Linked DNA regions of Ovis aries. The protein of the gene in region 3 purifies or fractionates together with the protein of the main gene of each other region. This does not show direct contact. Links are inferred from orthologs where the notes say so. Each region holds a gene or a part of one and is shown on either strand. Other genes may lie near its edges.

Region 1 (4,094 bases), on a different chromosome or scaffold from region 3:
ATTTGCAAGCTTTAAGTTAAAACAAAAGCATGTATTTGTATTTTCATGATTCTCGTTTGAACCAGTTTTCTCAATGAACCATTAACCATTACGTTAATGGTTCCAAGCTTGTTATACTATATTCAGCTGCCAACTAGATATCTTTGCCTGGTTGTCAACAGACACCTCCAACACAACACGTCCAGAACAATTTATTTTTACTTCCAAATCGGTTCTGCTCATCTACTGTAAAGCTAGAAACCTGGGAATGAATCCTGATTCCTCCCGGAGCCGGAACCACACTAAGTCCTGGCAGTCTTCAGATATTTTTTAAAGGCCATGTGCCGCCCCTCCCTTTCCTTAATCCTGTCACCAGGGTTCTAGCCCTGCGAATGAGCACAGCCCAGAGGAAAGACTGTGTTCGTCGTTCAGCCGTGTCCCAGTTTTGGCGGCCCCATGGACTGTAGCCTGCCAGATCCCTCTGTCCATGAGATTCTCCAAGCAGGAATACTGGAGTGGGCTGCCATTCCCTTCTCCAGGTGATCTCCCCGAACCAGGGATCAAACCTGGGTCTCCTGCGTTGCAGGCGGACTCTTTACTGTCTGGGGCACCAGGGAGGCCCTTACAGTGTTTATGCCACGCTGTGCTTAGCCGCTCAGTCGTGTCTGAGTCTTTGGGACCCTATGGGCAGTAGCCAGCCAGGCTCCTCCGTCCATGGGATTCTCCAGGCCAGATACTGGAGTGGGCTGCCATGCCCTCCTCCAGGGGATCTTCCCCACACAGGGATCGAACCTGAGTCTCCTGCACCGCACGCGCATTCTTTACCGTCTGAGCTATCAGGGAAGCCCTGCTTCCAGCAAAGACTGTCGGCTTTCGATCCGTCGATGGCTGTGTTCGCGCTGTGCTCCTGCGTCTACAGGCTGTGTGGACACAGCCCCGAGAGACGCAAGCCCGCGGGGCGCGGCCCGCTCGCAGGCGGGCCCCGGCTCTCCGCGTCCCCAGCTCCCACCGCCCCTACCCCGAGGGCGCGGCCGGCCCCCGGGACCCACGTCGGGTCTGCCTGCCGCCCGGCGGCCGGCGGCGCGGGCGCAGCCGGCGAAAAGAGTCCCTCCGCGCGGCCACCCCTCCGCCCGGCCACCCCTCCGCCCGGCGCGGGCCGCAGACCGGGAACCCCACCTGCTGCAGGTACTGGTTGATGGTGATGTGCGCCATGGCCGCGCCCGCGCCGCCGCCGCGCGTCACTTCCGGGCCGCGGTCCGGCCCCGACCCCGCGCCCCCGGCCCCGCCTTCCGCGCGCGTTGGTTCCGGAGGCGGTGTGTGCGCCGCAGCGCGAGCCCCGGGCCGGCATGGCGGCGCGCCCGGGCTGAGGACCGCCGGGGGCTGCGCTGCGACTGCCCTCCCCGCTCGCGCGACCGCCCCCTCGGCGCCGCGGAGCCCGGGCCCGCCGCCCCCTCGGCGGCTGCGGGCTCCTCACGGGCTCCTCACGGGCCGGGCCGCGCGGGCTCCTCGCGGGCTCCTCGCGGGCTCCTCACGGGCTCCTCACGGGCCGCGCGGGCTCCTCGCGGGCTCCTCACGGGCTCCTCGCGGGCTCCTCACGGGCCGCGCCGGGGCGTTCGGTCGCGGGCCGGGCCGCGCGGGCAGAGCGCGCGAGCCGGGCGGCGGTTGGGCCGGGGAGGCGGCGGCGGGAGGCCGGGCCGGGCCGGGGCGGGCGCCGCCATGGCGGACGAGGGCCCCCGGAAGGGCAGCTTCTCGGCGCTCGTCGGGCACACGAACGGCCTCACCAAGCCCGCGTCCCTCGCCGCGGCCGCCGCCACCGCCAAGCCCGGCGGCGCCGGCGGCTCCAGGAAGCTCGTGATCAAGAACTTCCGAGGTGGGTGCGGGCCGGCCGGGCGGGCGCCGCGGGGCCCGAGCGCTGGGCGGGCGGCGCGGTCCCCCCTGCGGCGGCGCGGCCCCGGGCGGGCGCTCGGGCGGGCGGCCTCCCCGCCGGGGGCGGCTTCGGGCAGCTCGCAGCGCGGAGGGGAGGGTAACTCTTCCGCGGCCTCCCGCTTGGGAAGTCCGCTCGTTGAGTGAAAGAGCACTGAGATTTTTATGCCTTCCCCTCGCGCTCACAGCGACCGTCTTCGACGTGTTTGCTTAGTGAAACGAAGGCGGAACGGCTGCAGAGTCTGTAACCCGAGGGATTTATAAACATGGCACCTTGTACGGGGAAAACAATGGCCCGCGTTCCTTAGCTGTGTGTCTTTGAAGTACTTTTTTCGTAGAGTGGTTTTTTAAAGACGTGTGATTGTTGGCATGGGTGCCGTTACCTACTGACTGTGTCTGCACTTACAGACAGACCTAAATTGCCTGATAACTACACTCAGGACACCTGGCAGAAGCTTCATGAAGCGGTGAAAGCCATACAGAGTAGCACCTCCATCCGCTACAACCTGGAAGAGCTCTATCAGGTAAGCGTCCACAGGCGGCCAGGAGCAGAGCTCCATAGCAGGCTCGCTGAGATGGAAGCCTTCCCTTCCCTTAGGGTGCTGGCATCCTGCTTTCCGCTTACCTGACTTTTTTATAGTTGTCTAAATTGCACCGTAATCCAGCTCCGGTGAAACGTGACGCAGCCGTGGATTCTGTGGTCCCCAGTGTTGTTTCAGAGACAGTAGAAGAGGGAATAGAGTCCAAGTATCTGCCTCCACCAGAAACAGCAGGAGCTCTGTGGCATCCTGTCCCAAGTCAAGGACTGTTTTCTGGTTTTGGTGGTTGTGGGATTTTCATTTCATTTTCAGGCTTAAGCTGTTGAAAGGTACTTAAATTTAACCCATTTATAGGAGAGAAACGTGTTTCCAAGAGCCATAGGACATTTTCCAAATATGCAGCAGATTATCATCCATTATGTTGTGTGTGAAACTCTTACCTACGCTTTAGGCGATAGAATAGCATTTCTGTTAATATCTAGCTTCTCTATTAAGAGGCTTGAGTTCAAGTTTTTTTCTCTAGGAGGGTTTGGGGGAGGATGGGTACATGTATGTGTGTGGCTGAGTCCCTTTGCTGTTCACCTGAAAGTTCAGCAGCGTCATTAATTGGCTTTACCCCAGTGCAACATGAAAAGTTTACAGTTGGATACTTGTAAAAAATAAGCAAAACCTTTTCATGTTTACATGAGCAATTACATTATAAAAATTATGGAAACTGCAGAAAGTACATGGAAGGAAATGAAAATCCCTGATATTCCTATCACCCAAAGAAGACTGCTGTTGACAGTGAACATATGTGAACATATGTGCCTTCTTTGTCTTAAGTTTAAGTCTGTTGTGTGTTTTAACCACTTAATTAAGCTATGGAATGTGTCCTTGAGTAAGTTTTATCAGACGTGTCCACTTGCAGAACATTCTGTCACCACAGACAGTGCCCAGAGGCCCCTGTGCGGCCAGCCATCCCTCCTCACTCCCAGCCCTTGGCAATCACTGACTTGCTGTCTGTTGGTACATTCTGCCGTTTCTAGAACCTCATCTAAATGGAACCGTGCCTCTCGCGGTCTCTCGTACCTGGCTCCTTTCACTTAGGGTAACGCTTCTGCACTGCGTGTGGGCCTTCTGACAGTAACTGGTTTCTTTGTTGCCGAGTACTCTGGGCACCATGGTTGCTTATCGTGCGTTAATGGATGTCTGGGTTTCATAAGACATTTCATAGCTTTTCAAAGTGGTGTCATGATTTTTTGTCTCTGCCAGTGGCGTGTGGGAGACTCAGATGCTCCGTGTCTGTGCCAGTGTCTGGTAGCGTCAGTCTTTACCTTGTGCTGGTCTAGTTTGGTATGTGGTAGAATTTCACCTTGGTTCTAATCTGCAGCCCCCTGATGATAGTAAGTGTCTTTTCCTGTGCCCATCGCCGTTCCTGATGCCTGCTTTACTGAAGCGTGTGCTCGCGTCTTCTGCTCATCTCTTGTGGTCTTGCTTATCTTCTTACCGTCACGTGTTTGGGGCCATTATGTCTTCTGGGCACGTGTCTTATTCCAGAAATTTGCCTGGCGCTTGTGCTCTCCCAGTTTACAGCTTGCCTTTTGAGTCTGTTAACTATGGCTTTCGGAGAGCAAAAGTTTTGAATTCTGATGAAGTCTGTATCAGTTTGGT
Region 2 (4,107 bases), on a different chromosome or scaffold from region 3:
CCTGGAACTATCACTAGTTATTTATTAACAAGGAAAATCATTTCCTAAAGGTACCTGGTCCTTACTTATCAGAATCAGTTTTGCAAGTAAAGCAAAGAGCTAATCTTTTGTGGGCCAAGTTAATTTGGGAAGCCCTGGATACTGTGAGAAAGTGGAATAGCCACGACAAAACCAAGACCAAAGAATTAGCATAAATAAAGGTTTTATTGGTCAGTTTGGGTGACTGACACACTGACAGACCTTCAATTCACTGTTCCACACACCCAAGGTCCTGAGGTGGCAGGAAGACAACTAAGCCCATTAATACCAAGCAAAGGGTGGGAAGTGGAAAGAATCTAAAGGTCTCTGTGATTAATTAACAAGGCTACCGGGACCGGAACCAACGTCCTAGGAACAAATCCAGGATGGAAGAGGAATCATCCAAGGATGGAGGTGTTGGTGATTCTGGACCTAAGGGAAAGAGTGATACACACAGGCTAAATGAAGGAGACTGGAAAGAGGCAAAGGAGGGCAGCAATGTTTAATGGTAGGAGAGCAACAGTTTCCCTTTCCCATGGAACTAAGAGATGGATCCCTTTGATTTATACTCTTCACTTACCATCTCTAGGACTGCCGCCTGCCTCTTGATGGGTTACTGTGGTCTCTTTCCGGCCCTCGCTGTCCACCACAGTCCGGCGCTCCTCTATAGTCTACAAGAAGAAGTCCCCCCACCATATCCCTAACATCACTAAAGGTGGGTTCACTTGTTTCTTTACATAGTCCCCCTTTCCAGAACATTCTCTGGTCACAGCTGCCTTTACCCATCTCTCCCAACTCACCCCATCTGGCTTAGTGATCTTGGTCACAGAGACACTCTTGAAATAGGTTTTGGGTTGGGGCTGCAGAACTGGGCCAAGACCCTCCTGAGAAACCTGGGAATCAAGATCTAGAAGGGCACAGAAAGGAAACAAGAAAGAGTCCAAAGCGAAGAAGGGGACAAATGTGGCAGACAGAAATTTCAGGGAGGGACACCAAAGGGCTGGTAAATGTCCTCTCCCTCCAGACTTACCATTGTCTTCTCTGGCTCTAGAGTGGGGGGTCACAGGCCACGTATCATCGAACTGTAGAAGAAGCCAAAGTAGGTCAAATGACACCTTTCAATCTGAAGTTTGAGGGGCCCCAGAACCCAGCCTATTTCCAAGTTCCAAAACTACTTTTTTTTTTTTTTTTCAGGAGAAATGATCCCAGCAGGATGGCTTTCTTTACTCACTCCCCCTCCTTCCTACCTGATTCATGTATTTCTCTACCAAAAAAGCATTCCTGAACTGACACTTTTCTGTCCTCCTTCAAACATTTCTGCTTTCTCCAAGCATCGTCTACAGTAATTTTTAACAAAAAGCAGAACTCCCATTTCCTCCCAAAGAAAATCCTACACAAAGCTTAATATAGAAAACAGACAAATACAACCCAAGTCTGTTAGATTCCAGCAAGGTTTCCAGTCTTTGCAGTCTTCTCCACAGCTCCCACTTCAGGCCCAGATGTACTCACCCTATGAAAAGGTCTCTGGGGGCCCCAGTCTGGTGCTGGTTTGGGGGATTCAGATCTTGCATCACTCTCCAAGCCCCCACCAAAGATCTTGGGCTGGTGACTATCTGGATACTTAAGCATTGAGTCCCGAAGCGTCTGTCCTTCCTGCCGTCTCTCACCAGGTGTCTCTGACTCAGGACCTGGAAGTTCTGCAGAAAGGTGGCAGGTGGATGCTGGGAGTAGGAAAGGACTTGGGCTCTTTTAAATCTCCTTGAAATCATCAGCTTTCTCACACTTCCCAACACCCCCAACTACTCTCTGCAAGTCTTTTTTTTTCACCCACCGACCCAGTAGAAACCACAGGTTCTTCCCCAGGAGCATCCACACACCAGGAGGGCGGGAAGGCAAGGTCCAGGCCCCCATCTCGCTGAAGATGTTGTTGAAATCCCGTACTAGGTCATCAAAGCCGAAGTTATCGTGGAAACGCATTCCTCCTCCCGGGCTGAAGCTGAAGCCAAAGCTAAATTCCTCAGGGGGCTGGGGACCCTCAAACCTCGAGTTCCCACGGCCCCACGTGACTCCTTCTTCTTCCTCTTCCTCATCATCTTCGTCTTCATCGCGAGTCATTCCTCCAAAAAAGGGATCTCTGTGGCTAGGGGTGGAGGCAGATTAGCCACCAAAATTTCAGCACTTAAACCATAGCATCAGCTAAGACTCGACGAGTAGGACAAGAGTTGGGATCTGAGGGCCTGGAGTGAGGGTAGAGGACTGGCCATCGGGTTTGTTTTGCTTCATCAACGTCAGTCCTCACCTGGTGCCCCACCCCACCCCGCCCCGCCCCCAGCGCTTCCCTGCGGCTTTTCTTAAGTGTTTCCCAGCCCCTGCCCTCCCCCAAGGTCTTGCTCACTTGTCCTCGACTCCAGAGCCCATTGTCTTCCCCACCCGGTCCCCTGTTACATCACCCTAAACTGGAGAAAAGCTTAAGCGGCTGTTTCTTCTCTTAGCGACCGCCCTGGTTACTGTCGGGGGGTGAGTGTTCAGTGTTGACCTTTTTTTCCCCGCAGGAGTTTTAGGAGGGTAGAAAAGGATGTTTTTCCAAAAATAGGGTGTCCAGGGTCAAGCTCCCCTCCGAGTACTCCCGCCCCTCCGTGTCTGGCCGGAATCCGCTCTCACCTCCGAGGTCCAGAAAAGCCGAAAAAGCCCCGAAAGAGGTCAAAAAGGCTCATTCCCGTAGTGGGACTCGAACCTTTGAAGCCCACAGCGGGTAGCAGCCAGAGCTACGCTGTCGGAAATTGAGCGAAGCGTCAGACCACGCTGCCGGAAAGCAAGCATGCGATCGCACACTGTCGTAAAACAACCGTAAGCCGGACGTCGCTGAGGGGCGGGGCGGGCGATCCTATCAAATTCTAAAGGCTTTCACTTTTGCCCCCACCTGCTTCCTGTGAAGGGAGCGGGCGTACTGAGTTTTTATTTCCCAACGAACACTTGCCCTCTAAGCCAATTCTTTAGGCCGACCAACCCACTCCAGTAGGGTTTCGAGGGTTTGACGCTTGATGGCACTGGAGACAGCCGCCAGAGGGCACTCCACCCACAGAAATTAACCGGACCCAGACCCTTCCTCATTGCAGACTCACCACACCCACGGACCAGTGTTCTGCCTTAAACCCACCCGCTCCCTTCTTTCATCGTTTGTTTCTCGCCTGACTTAAGTCTAGTATTAGAGGAATGGACAAAATGTATCAAGCTCCTTCTACTTTAATAATGACATCCCCAGAGTAAAAGACACAGGAATGCATGGATTTAACTTCATCTCTCCAGCTATTAAGTAGTTTGCCAACGTAGGCTCTGCAACCATCAGAATAAACTTTGTGAGAGCGCAAGGGAAATCTAGTCAAGTTTTGGGAAGGAAGAATTTGGAGGTGTAAGTGTCCCCTTTTGCCTATCAGTGACTTTCAAAGCCTCTCCCCCTCTCTGTGCCCTCACCTCCTTCCCAAACCTGGCCTTGCTCCAGCCTCCTCCTCTTCAAGGGTGTGGATATTAGCTATGTGAAATGAAAACACTCAAACAGCAAGATCTACTGCTTCAGTTTTGCTAGCCAACAGTGCATATTTCGCACTCATTTCTTTCCAGTTCATTTGCACGGACCCATCTAAATTAAACTTTGATTCTATCAATACAAAGCGATTTCTTTCAGTTCTTGGTTAATCCTCTCCCTTTCCACCCAGTATCAGCTATCCCACTCCCTTCACTGCCTACAATCTGCTACAGATGACGGAAATGAACATTTGCAATGATTCTTTACAGGCACCACTGTGAAATTTTTGAGGGAGGGCGAGGGAATCCCCTCAAGGGCAGCACATTAAGGTCAGAGGAGTTCTTAAAGGGCGAAGATTTCGTTTTTATTCCACCGCCTTCGGGGCCTGCTAGAGAAGGCCCAGTTGGTACAGTAATATTTATTCACCAAGCTGGTCATCGACGAGACTGAGGACATCCTAGACGGAGCAAGAATGGGCAGAGGCTGAAGGTAGAGGTTTTCTTTTTATATATACAAGACACATTAATCCATTAAATTTGAGGACACAGTACAAAAAAAAAAAAACC
Region 3 (3,500 bases):
CATATAGCAGAATACCATCACAGCTTTTAAAAATAGTGATGAATACTTACAAGTATATCATGAAAAAGTGTTCACTTAGCATTAACACACACACTCACACAAAGTTTACAAAATAACATGTATAGTGTGATGTCATTTTTTTTGTGAAAACAAATATACTTATAAATAATATACATATATAACAAACATATATACTTACATATTTTCTACTACAAAACACAGAAGCAGATATCAAAATATTAAAGGAAGCTATTTCTGAGTACTAGAATTATAGGGTTGGATTTTTAATATTTTATTTATTATTTTTCTATTTATCTACAAAGATCATGTATTATTTATATAATGAATTAAAAGTTAAAGAGAAAAATATAGGTAAGAAAAACATTCAAACAGCACTAGGCTTCATTATCCAGGAAATCAGTACTTTATATCAAAATAACCCAGTTACCTAGAGGAGCAGAATCAATTTTTTTCCAAGGGTTGAGATATGTTTTCTTTTCCTTCCAATCACAATATTCCTGACAACTATCACTAGGCTGGTCCCATGGTAATTCTAAAAAGGAAACAAGACTCGGTTTTCTGAATGTTCAAATCATTTTACAGTAATGATTTTAAGGGAAAATAATCAGTGACACAAATCCATTAAAAGTTTTCTTCAAATTAATTAAATATGGTTTAAGAAATTTTAAAGACACTTCTAAGATAGATAATCCACTTCTGTCTTACTATTTCGAAAAGTGTTCACATAATTTTAAGAGAGTGCTACTATGATATTTCATTTAATAGCTACACATAAATCATTGTTTTAAATCTTTGGTATTAAAAGTTCCAACTTAGTTATAAATAGGTTAATATTAACATACTATCACATGATTTATTTCATTTATTTTGGTACAGGAAACATGGCTTTCCAAAGGACAGGAATTTTATCATGATTGAACAGCTCTTACCTCCAGCCAACATTGCAGTAAGTACTATTCCACAGGACCAAATATCGACTGGCTCTGCATGAAATTCTTTTCTCTTTAGAAGTTCTGGAGCAACGTATGGTAAAGTACCACACATCTTGTTCAACAAACGCTCCCGATTATTATGCCGAAACACGGTTGCCAAGCCAAAGTCAGAGATTTTGAGGTTATCTAAGTCAAAGGAAAAAACCGATGGCACTGAATGTAAATTCCCAGGTGGTGCAATGGCAAAAGAATACACCTGCCAATGCACGAGACTCGGGTTCAGTCCCTGAGCAGGGAAGATCCCTGGAGGAGGAAATGGCAACCCACTCCAGTGTTCTTGCCTGGAGAACCCCATGGACAGAAGAGCCTAGCAGGCTACAGTCCATGGAGTCACAAAGAGTCAGACCTGACTGAGCCACTGAGCACACACACAAATACTTAAAGGAGTCAAGGTTTACTGGAAAACTGCTGGTGTTATTTTAGATTTGTGGAACTTCTCTACCTTAAAGTGATCAAAAACAAATTGTAATAAAGAAGAAATAAAAGACATCATCATATAACTAAAACTAGAAAAAGGCCTCACGGCTTCTATTAACTTAAGACAAATACTGTCAATATACAAACAGCATGGACCAGGTTAGAGGAAGATCCTGGAGTCAAAAGGGTCTTCTAGAAAGGAGCACTTAAACACTGAGAGCAGAGCCATGTCCTCACCCGGCTATGCAGAGGCACGAGGTATCAATAATACTCTAGGCACAACGTTCTCAGAGATGTAAAAACCCAGCTGGCTGGAAGGAAGCATATAAAGACACACAGAAACTCAAGATCCACAGACCTCCAGAGCTTCTCATCAAGGTGGCTATGTTTATAAAAGGAGGAGGAACTCTGCACAAAAACAAATAAGAAGAGCAAATTTCCTCTCTAACTTCCCACCTCTAAGACACACAAACTGTAGGCAGAACTTTCACCTTAACTATACTTACTGAATATTTACCGTAACTGAGTGGCAGATTAAGAAGCTGCCCTGAAGTTTCAGTAATGCAAAAGCCTTGATCCCGCCTTTGTATTAAAATGATTTTGGTAGCAGTGACAAAATGCTAAACTTACCCCTTTCATCCAATAGGAGATTTTCGGGTTTAATATCCCTGTGAGTTATTCCAATACCATGCAGATAAACCTAAAAGAGAAGCAGAGGGAAGCATACCAGAACTGAGTAACTTATTTCACTAAGACTAATTTTAAATGAAAGGAAAAGAGACCACTGTACCTACCACCCCTGCCATAAGTTGATGGAAGAACCTCTGAGCCTCTTGTTCAGGCATGCCTATGTCTGGCTCTATAAGAATTGTGAAAGTTAGTTTATCAGGTAAATATAGTCAGGCATCAACCACATAGTTTCCTAATTCTAAAGTTTAACATCTATGATCGCACTTTTGCAAAGAGAATCTAATGCTTACAATGAAATTATTCTGGAGTCCACTAATACATATATTGCTAACAACTCACATTTCCCCAACTGTTAAGTGGCAAAAATAAATTAACATCACAGGAAAATTAGAGAATAACAAAATATAACCCAAATCAAGAATGCAAGATATACCTTGAAAGCCCCGACTTATACTACTTATGATTTATATCCTTCAAATTCACCCCTGATTTCTTCTAAATGCTATGCCAATATTTTTTTCTACTCCTGAAATGTAATTGTCAAAGTGGAAGCCTAGCAAATCTAAGCCGATTTCCTAAATATACAAGAAATTTAAATTTCATATAATTTCTCACACCACAAAGCCATGCATGTCTATGAATTGATTTCTTTTATACTCAATTCTTTTCTGAGATACATCTTTTTGGAGATTCTAATAATCACTTTTCAACTATTAATACATCTAAATAATAAATTTAAGTCCACAGAATATTTTATGTAATTCTCAGTATTCTTTAATATCAAGACTTTTAATCTTAAGTAGCAAAACAAAAAATAGAGAAGGCAATGGCACCCCACTCCAGTACTCTTGCCTGGAAAATCCTATGGATGGAAGAGCCTGGTAGGCTGTAGTCCATGGGGTCGCTAAGAGTCGGACACGACTGAGCGACTTCACTTTCATGCATTGGAGAAGGAAATGGCAACCCACTCCAGTGTTTTTGCCTGGAGAATCCCAGGGACAGGGGGAGCCTGGTGGGCTGCCGTCTATGGGGTCACACAGAGTTGGACACGACTGAAGTGACTTAGCAGCAGCAGCAAAAATAGTACTTAATATATATATAAATCCTATAAAATTCTCAATTATTTCACTTATATAATAACCTCTTATTTCAGATCTATAAATGAATGCAACAATTTCATGAGACTAGAATGTCTAAAACTGCATAGGCATACAATACATTGCACTTATGATACTTCACGCACCAAGAAACCACAGCTTATCATTCTTAAACTCTACAAAACAGAAATGCCAACCAAAATCACTTATACAACTTGGGGGAAAATTTCTTTGATGATTCTACATATGCATTCAGTGTTGACATAAGTTGCAAAAACAAAAA

The links. The genes of interacting proteins can lie anywhere in the genome.
Region 1: the proteins of CHEK1 (region 3) and CUL4A purify together in Homo sapiens (affinity purification with western blotting; 4 studies listed by BioGRID). This does not show direct contact. The link is inferred for Ovis aries from reciprocal best matches to the Homo sapiens genes CHEK1 and CUL4A.
Region 2: the proteins of CHEK1 (region 3) and HAX1 purify together in Homo sapiens (affinity purification with mass spectrometry; 3 studies listed by BioGRID and IntAct, with this or other methods). This does not show direct contact. The link is inferred for Ovis aries from reciprocal best matches to the Homo sapiens genes CHEK1 and HAX1.

The regions. Positions count from the first base shown.
Region 1 is NC_056063.1:85,882,324-85,886,417, forward strand, and holds the start of CUL4A (cullin-4A), read left to right. Parts: upstream 1-1,294; 5' UTR 1,295-1,695; coding exon 1,696-1,849; intron 1,850-2,310; coding exon 2,311-2,426; intron 2,427-4,094. Other genes in the region: PCID2 (PCI domain-containing protein 2), read right to left, coding at 1,156-1,191. UniProt on the Homo sapiens protein: Core component of multiple cullin-RING-based E3 ubiquitin-protein ligase complexes which mediate the ubiquitination of target proteins. As a scaffold protein may contribute to catalysis through positioning of the substrate and the ubiquitin-conjugating enzyme.
Region 2 is NC_056054.1:104,558,398-104,562,504, reverse strand, and holds HAX1 (HCLS1-associated protein X-1), read right to left. Parts: upstream 2,801-4,107; 5' UTR 2,733-2,800; coding exon 2,680-2,732; intron 2,159-2,679; coding exon 1,854-2,158; intron 1,716-1,853; coding exon 1,528-1,715; intron 1,101-1,527; coding exon 1,049-1,100; intron 926-1,048; coding exon 819-925; intron 690-818; coding exon 599-689; intron 451-598; coding exon 365-450; 3' UTR 186-364; downstream 1-185. UniProt on the Homo sapiens protein: Recruits the Arp2/3 complex to the cell cortex and regulates reorganization of the cortical actin cytoskeleton via its interaction with KCNC3 and the Arp2/3 complex. Slows down the rate of inactivation of KCNC3 channels. Promotes GNA13-mediated cell migration.
Region 3 is NC_056074.1:26,501,334-26,504,833, reverse strand, and holds part of CHEK1 (serine/threonine-protein kinase Chk1), read right to left. Parts: intron 2,290-3,500; coding exon 2,225-2,289; intron 2,131-2,224; coding exon 2,061-2,130; intron 1,140-2,060; coding exon 951-1,139; intron 554-950; coding exon 449-553; intron 1-448. UniProt on the Homo sapiens protein: Serine/threonine-protein kinase which is required for checkpoint-mediated cell cycle arrest and activation of DNA repair in response to the presence of DNA damage or unreplicated DNA.